Mus musculus: one gene and its partner. The protein of the gene in region 2 binds, or shares a complex with, the protein of the main gene of each other region. Links are inferred from orthologs where the notes say so. Each region holds a gene or a part of one and is shown on either strand. Other genes may lie near its edges.

The links. The genes of interacting proteins can lie anywhere in the genome.
Region 1: the proteins of Nxf1 (region 2) and Nxt1 are in contact, whole or in part, in a crystal structure (PDB 4WYK), measured with the Homo sapiens proteins. The link is inferred for Mus musculus from reciprocal best matches to the Homo sapiens genes NXF1 and NXT1. Residues at the interface, in NP_006353.2 of Homo sapiens: Ala366, Pro367, Thr368, Thr369, Leu370, Pro371, Pro372, Cys373, Lys374, Gly375, Tyr377, His411, Gly413, Cys415, Cys416, Ser417, Leu418, Ser419, Ile420, Pro421, Phe422, Arg440, Asn441, Val442, Lys443, Lys444, Lys446, Pro448, Thr449, Arg451; in NP_037380.1 of Homo sapiens: Phe6, Lys7, Val10, Asp11, Cys14, Glu18, Thr44, Val46, Trp47, Asn48, Gly49, Asn50, Ala51, Phe61, Met64, Leu65, Pro66, Ile72, Ser73, Val74, Val75, Asp76, Cys77, Gln78, Pro79, Val80, His81, Glu83, Ala84, Thr85.

The regions. Positions count from the first base shown.
Region 1 is NC_000068.7:148,671,344-148,675,454, forward strand, and holds the start of Nxt1 (NTF2-related export protein 1), read left to right. Parts: upstream 1-1,271; 5' UTR 1,272-1,492; intron 1,493-3,120; exon of another isoform or gene 3,121-3,255; intron 3,256-3,938; 5' UTR 3,939-3,997; coding exon 3,998-4,111.
Region 2 is NC_000085.6:8,763,573-8,767,141, forward strand, and holds part of Nxf1 (nuclear RNA export factor 1), read left to right. Parts: coding exon 1-44; intron 45-124; coding exon 125-229; intron 230-343; coding exon 344-424; intron 425-507; coding exon 508-577; intron 578-688; coding exon 689-777; intron 778-926; coding exon 927-1,034; intron 1,035-1,349; coding exon 1,350-1,459; coding exon of another isoform or gene 1,460-1,703; exon of another isoform or gene 1,704-3,224; coding exon 3,225-3,261; intron 3,262-3,507; coding exon 3,508-3,569.

The DNA.
Region 1 (4,111 bases), on a different chromosome or scaffold from region 2:
AGGAGAGGAAGGGGAGAGGGAGAGAGAGAGAGAGAGAGAGAGAGAGAGAGAGAGAGAGATTCTATCCTCTAGAGAACCTTGACGAATACGCTCAACTGTGTCAGTGGCCAGTCCTTTAGAATCAGAGGCATCTCTAATCTCCCAAATTCAAGGGCTACTGAAAGAATAAAGGTCAAGTTCTCCCTCAGGAAAAGTCCTGGGACCTACCACTACTTTATCCCCAGGTTTACTACATATTTTTGTGTAACTACTGCTCCAAAGGCACTTATTCATCCTTGAAACTCAGACTCCAACTTAATTCTTTCAATAATGAAAACTTTTCACTCACTTAACTCCAGTGGGAAGTGACCTATATTGAACAGCCATTCTCGTTTCTTAAATCTAAAAACAAATGTTCCCTTAGTAACATGAGCAAAAGGAGCCGAGAGGTTGGTAACAAAATACAGATTAAAGTACTTAATTGAACAAAGCCACTTACAAACAGCTCTCCTAGCCGGGCAGATGAAGCAAAGAATCAGGTCTCAGCAAAGTTAGCTCTTTGGGTTTTGATACACGAAGCAGTTTCCCAATTTCCCACGCGAAATGGCTCCATTTCTATGCTAGGTATCTAGACAGCTCCAGATTAAAACAAATTCAGTGTCTTAAATGAGGTGGTACTGCGCCGCAGCTGGAGCCAGCAGGAAACTCAATTTGCACTGCATAGAAAGTCAACTACCATTGTCCCCTTGCCCGCCTCTTCGACCTCAGTTCTCACTAGACTAAAATTTGTTCTCTTATAAGTTCATCTGCTTGTCAACTCTAAGTAGCTTCACCTTAGGAAGGGTGCGCTCAGCTAAGATATTTGACCATATTTGACCACAAGGACTTCCACAGACTCTCAGATTTAGCCTTCCACCGGGTTCCTACACTACGGGTGTCTATGTGCTGGGTTCAGTCCAGAGCCTTATTGAAGCCATGCTGTTGTCTCCCTAGTTAGCATCAACCAGTGAAGCTCCACGTTGAAGCTTCACGAGTCTCCACAAGATATCATCCCAACACACACAGAAGAAGGGAGCCAGATCTAGCAAAGACAGATATCTCTTATTAACCAAGCCTTCCACAGCTAAGCGCGTTGACTCCACCCTCTCCACAACATCCAATCAGAGCTCCCTCAACCGGATCTTCTAGGATAGTGCCTAACCCGGAACCTACACTGTCTTTGCCGCCACACCTGGGCGGAGCCAAGTTTTCTACTGGCTCGCGTAGCTGCCCGTCGCGGGGAGGCGGGAGTCGACGGGAACCGGGATGCTAGCGCCTGCGCACATTGCAGCTTGCGGCGCGCGGGAAGCCACTACCGGCGCTTAACCGTTCCTCGCCTCCTGGACGTCGGCTTCTCAGGCGGAGCCTCTGGGAGGAAGAGGAGAACAGGAGAGAAACTCTTCTGGCCCGGGACCGCGACCGGGGCGGAACCCGGGACCGAGTCGCCTTGGCGGCGCTGACCGAGATCGAGCAGGTAAGTGAGCGCTCCTGCCTGGCCGTCTGGCAACGCCGCGGCACCAGGGACCTCTTCCCTTTTCTTAGGCTCAATAAGACATGGATGTTGTCCTTTCCTCCACGTGGTGTCTCTGCAACCTGGCATCAGGCTTTTTTATGTGCAGAACCGTGGCGGTGAGTTTGCCATACCCGGAGGAGAGCAGCAGTTTGGGGCCGGGGGATGTAAGAAGCGACTCCCAGCTGGAAATGAGGCCCGGGGCACGGCTGCCGTTTCTGAGGTCCAACTCCAGGAAACTACAGTATGAACCATGGGAGTGGAGCATCTTTCTGACTCTCACTCTACTATGTTTCGGTCGTACTGCTCTCTCCTTAAGAGAGAAAGATGACCGGGTTCTGTGGGTAGCTGAGGACCAGAAATAGGGGTGATCATCTTTGGGGGCGTGACCAATGTTAGGGCGAAGCATTGTGGCCTAAAGAAGTGGGGATGAGGTGGTTGGACAGAGAAATATGGTTACCTTGGAGAACATTGTTAAGCCAGCATCCCTAGAGCTGTTTTCATATAGAACTGCTTTCAAAAAAATCCTGGAACTTAGTAAGCATAGCTCTGACTCCCTTGCTTCCGTAGAATGAAGCAAGTAAGTTTGTAACTCTTTTTGTAAAGTTGTTACAGTGACTTGTGCAATGATGATTGAGGGAATGTACCTAAACTACTAAGCAAACAGCACTTCAGATTGATTGTTGAGTCGGAGGACCTTGGTGAGAGAGTGGCAAGAGCAGTATCAAGCTGGCTCCGAATTCATCTATAGGGCCAGCTTCCTCCTTGCTCTGTGTGGAATCCATCGTTCATAAACTGATAAGCTTAAAAAAATGAAACCGGGCATGGTGGCGCACGCCTTGAATCCCAGCACTTGGGAGGCAGAGGCAGGCGGATTTCTGAGTTCGAGGCCAGCCTGGTCTACAAAGTGAGTTCCGGGACAGCCAGGGCTACACAGAGAAACCCTGTCTCGAAAAACCAAAAAAAAAAAAATGTTGGCCCAGGCATGGTCGTGCACACCTTTATTCCCAGCACAAAAGGCAGAGGCGGATGTCATGAGTTCAAAGCCAGTGTGGTCTACATAGAAGTGGCAGAAATACATAGAGAGAACGTGTCTCAATAAAATAATAAAGGCTCTTGAAATGAAAAAGCATGTGTTCACAGCTTAAAGTTTTAAGCTTACTCTGTAGAGACCCTGTTTCTGGAAATTGGCAAATAATATAAATTACTTGTGTCCTATTTTCAGTAATATTGATCAGTACTAGGTTCTTTTAAGTGGAAATAGTTAACCATAGAAAAAATTAGCAGCCATTCCTGTTGTAAAAAGAAAAGCCATGCTGCTTATGTGATGGAACTTTAATGTTTTAAGGAACTGTGATCTTCCGGAATCTCCCTGAGACTGTTTGAATGCTAGAGCCTTTCTGCTATGGTGTCATGGCCCTGCTGGTCTTAAATGGTGGCCATTAATGCTGAAGACATAAATTCTAGTTAGTCTTGGGTTTACTTGTTATGGGCATTGTAACCACTGTCCTCCACTCTCCTGAGAAATATGCCATTCCCTGCATCTTCTGGGTCCTTGTTGGATTATTTCATGGTAGTCTTTTCCCATACAGGCACCTGCTCTCCTTTGTTGGGTCAGTAACCACTCACTTCTACAGCGGGAGACACAGGTTTTACTAAGATGAGCCACACCCTGGTTGCCTAGGGGCAGTCACACCTATCCACGCTTTTAGGAAAGCAGACTTCAGGTATCAAATGTACTTTAATAATTATAAATGGATTTTAAAACCCATTGTAAGGTGAACATATTGGACTTTTTTTTTTGACCAAGCTTACTATTTAGCCCAGACTGGTCTACAATTCCTGTCTCAGATTCTCCAGTGTGCTCCACCACTCCTGACTTAAAGTCCCTAACTCAGTGCTGGATGTGGTGGTGCACTGTCTAGTTTAATTTTCTGTTCCTTTTTTTTCTTTTTTCTCTCTCTCGAGGAAACTAAGGATTGGAAAGATGAAATAGGTAGCCATTGAGCTGACTGCCTTTGATTCCAGATCTATATATCATGACCCTGCCTTTAAAATAAATAGGCTTGAGTCTGAGCCTGAAGTCATCTGCCTGTAGTATGTAAATGTTCTGTTACCTATAGAAAAATAGGGTTGGGAGCTAGATGGGTCAATGGGTAAAGGTGCTTTCTGTCAAACCTAACGACCTGAGTTTTTGATTCCTCGGAGGCATGAGATGGTAGGCAGACATGGTAGGCAGGCAGAGAGGACTCTTGCCTGGTCTCCTTTGACCTACAATGAGCCATGGCATGCACCAAATCACATGCACACAAACACTATTTTAAAAATTAAAACTTGAAAGAAAACTTTTCTCACGGCAGAATAGACTTTGAAATTCACTTGTGTTCACTTGACCTTTGCTGTCCTACAGTCCCTGGATCCCTAAGGAGGAGGCGCTCAGGCGGAGGCCTCTTGTCAGCAGAACCAGAGATGGCATCAGTAGATTTCAAGACCTATGTGGACCAGGCCTGCAGAGCTGCAGAGGAATTTGTCAATGTCTATTACACGACTATGGATAAGCGGCGTCGGCTGCTGTCCCGCCTG
Region 2 (3,569 bases):
GCATGATTCAGAGCAAATGCAGTGTCCCCTTCAATCCCATCGAGGTAAGACAGAGTTAGACCTGAAAGGCTGTGGAAGGACCTGTGGACTCCAGATTGAATGTTGTTTGTTTTCCTTCTTCCAGTTTCACTATGAAAATACACGGGCCCATTTTTTTGTGGAGGATGCCACTACTGCTTCTGCATTAAAGGGTGTCAACCATAAGATCCAGGATCGAGAAAACAGAAGGGTATGTGGACAAGGGCCTGGTATGGCACAGTTGGTGCACTAAAAGGGACTAAGTCTTAGTGCTGGTGATTAGGCTGCCCTCAATTATGTTCCTGCCTTTCTGTCTTCTCTTCAGATATCTATCATCATCAATGCTTCTGCTCCACCCTACACTGTACAGAATGAACTGAAGCCCGAACAAATAGAGCAGCTCAAGGTAAGGCTGGCTCAAGTGACATGGTCCAGCAGACTTTCAATCTCCATCAGTGACGACTAAACCCTTCGTTTTCCTTCTTCTAGCTGATCATGAGCAAACGATATGATGGCAACCAACAAGCACTTGACCTCAAGGGGCTCCGCTCAGACCCAGGTATGACTGACAACAATGGTTCTGACTAATTGGAGAGGGGAAACAATTGGTCTTTATAACACTGGTATGGGCAAGACCTCTCAGACTTCCTTTTCTTTCTATTTGCTACAGATTTGGTGGCCCAGAACATCGATGTTGTTCTAAACCGCAGAAGCTGTATGGCAGCCACCCTGCGGATCATTGAAGAGAACATTCCTGAGGTGAAGCTTTTTTTTTTTTTAATTTTAATTTAATTAACTAATTATTTATTTATTTATTTTTGCATTAAAAATCAGGGTGAGATGTGTAGGATAGGATGAGATACAGATTTGCCCCGTGGTAACACATCTAAACTTTGTTCTGTTCCTAGCTATTGTCTTTGAACTTGAGCAGCAACAGGCTATACAAGCTGGATGATATGTCTAGCATTGTGCAGAAGGCGCCAAACCTAAAGACCCTAAATCTCTCCGGAAACGAAGTAAGACTGACATCTAGGGTGCTTTTGTTTTTAATAGTTAACTGACTATGGAGGTGGAGGTCAGACTGTGTTGGGAGTTGAGTCTTTCCTTCTACGTGGGTTCTTGGGCTGTGATGCTTATGAGGTGAGAGCTCCTGCCCACTAAGCCATCACACTGACCCTGCTGTGTTTCTGTGATGGTGGAGCCAGGAGAGTGTGGCTGGCCATAGTGGGAAGCAAGAAACAAAACTTAGGTAGGATTTAGAAGTGTGGGAATCCAGCTGCTATTCTTAGTAAGGTCTGTTTCTTCCCTTTTACTCTCCTCATCCTTCACAGTTGAAGACTGAGCGGGAATTAGACAAGATAAAAGGGCTGAAGCTGGAAGAGCTGTGGCTTGACAGAAACCCCATGTGTGACAACTTCGGAGACCAGTCCAGCTATATCAGGTCAGTTGTAGCCTCTGTCTCCCCTCCTGGGGACATTCACCCCTGGGAGGCTGAGCTCATGCACCCTGACCAGTGCCCGTCTACAGGAGAACATGCAGCCCTGAGCTGGAACCACCTGTTCTTTGGGAGGAGGATCATGTATTCCTTTCTGCCTGTCTGTTGTCTCCTAGCTCTGTCCCAGATCTCTTCTTTCTTCTCACCTGACTTCTGTTCTCTAGTTCTGGCCTTTCTCCTTCTTTCTTGAACACAGCCTTTTCTAGAATCTCCCTACCTGTTATTCCAGGAAGAGCACCTCCCCTTTTCTGTTCTGATGTGGAGGTGTCTTATATATGCCCTACCTGTGTGTTTGTCTTCAGCAAAAGCCTGGTGTGCTTAGGCTGTGAGAAAGTCCTTTCTTACTGGGGCTGTCTACTGAGACAGGCCTTCCTTTGTCCTTTCATGGTCCCTCTTGCCGTTGTACCAAGAGGGACTCTTTATTTTCATGATCCACTTAGCCAAGGCTGTGGCCTGGTCCTTTCTGCCCATGCTGATGTTGATGCCTCTTGGAGGCTGGTACCATGCTATTGGTCTCTCTTGCCCAGTGCTGTGAACTGGGCCTTTCCTGGAGAAGAAATCTGGGTTTCCCTAAGATGTGATCAAAGCCGGGGCCCCGCCAGCAGGCGAGGGGGATCCCAAGGCAAGTGCTGGGCGTGGAGGCCACAGGGGCATCTGCTACCAAGGAGACAGAGAAATGACCCTGTCGGGCACAGCCCCTCCCTCACTCGCACACCTCACAGTCACCCTGCTTGGCCCCGAGGATGGCTGGTTAGCCAGAGACGGGTAAGATTCCTCAGGGAAGGAACAACCTAAGACAGGCACAGTCGCAGAGGGGCCATCAGGAGAGAACTTGGGGGCCAACTGAGGTGGGGCACAGACCCTCACCCCCCCAACTCGGCAGAGGCCTGAATCCTCATGTCTTCTGAGGGAGGTTTCCTGGCCCCATGGCTACTTTACCTCCCACGCCCAGCTTAGACCGGGACCCAGAGAGCAGACAGAGACCTGGCCAACAGCAACTGCAAATCATTATAGGATTTATTCTTCATTTCTACCTTGGGACCACAGGAAAAGGGCAGCTGAAGGAAATGGCTGTTTCAGGAGGTCTTTCTTTCTGCCATTCTTTTCTGAATGCCTCTGCCTTCAGGTCTGTCCCTGTTGCTTTGCTTCCTCTTTGTCTCTCCATTTCTCTCTTGTTCCTGCCCTACCTTTCTCCATTTCTCTTTCCCTTGGTCTCTTTTCTTTCCTCCTCCTTGAGCCCTGTCTTGTTCATCTCCTTGCCCCAACATCCTGTGCCATACTTGTGGTGTGTTCTGGTCTTGGCGAAGGCCAGACCTGGCAGAACTGGTGGATACCTGGTGAGGCAGCGGAGCCCCTGGGCTCCAACCCCATTCCCTCCTCCCGGGGCTGCACAGGTGAGTAGGTGGAAGGTAAGGGGGGCAAGGTGGGGAAGGCAGCCCTAGGCTTAAAGCCTGGGCTGAGAGTGCCCTCCTGTGGCACTCGGGATCAGGCAGCAAGACAACAGAGCCAGCCTTCAAGGCAATTAAGAAGGGGGTGCCCCTGGTGAGGAGGGGAATGGGGGTTCTTGTCCCCATGTTTAAGTTGGGGAGGAGTGGGCGATAAGCAGGATGGGATGGGCTGTTCCTCGGGTTTTTGGTGTATTTGCTCCTAGAGCAGCCCAGGAGGCATGATGGCTCTGAAGCGTCACTCACTTCTGTCCCGTTCTTGACAGCGCCATTCGCGAACGATTTCCCAAGTTATTACGCCTGGTAAGTCTAACATTTTGTTCTCAAGAACAGGGACAACCAAGGTCTTGCCTCTATTTTGTGACCACTAATGTGGGTGTGTAGATTTGTTTGAGAATCTGCTAACAGTGGTAATCTTCATCTTAGAAATGCCTGTGGACAAAGTTTATATAGGATCCCTGCACGCTCTCCGTGTCTTTTAGCTTTTCTCTATGCTCACAAATCCAGTCTTTCTTCAGTTTCTCATATTACATTCACTTCTTTTCACAGGATGGCCATGAGCTACCCCCTCCAATTTCCTTTGATGTCGAAGCCCCTACAATGTTACCACC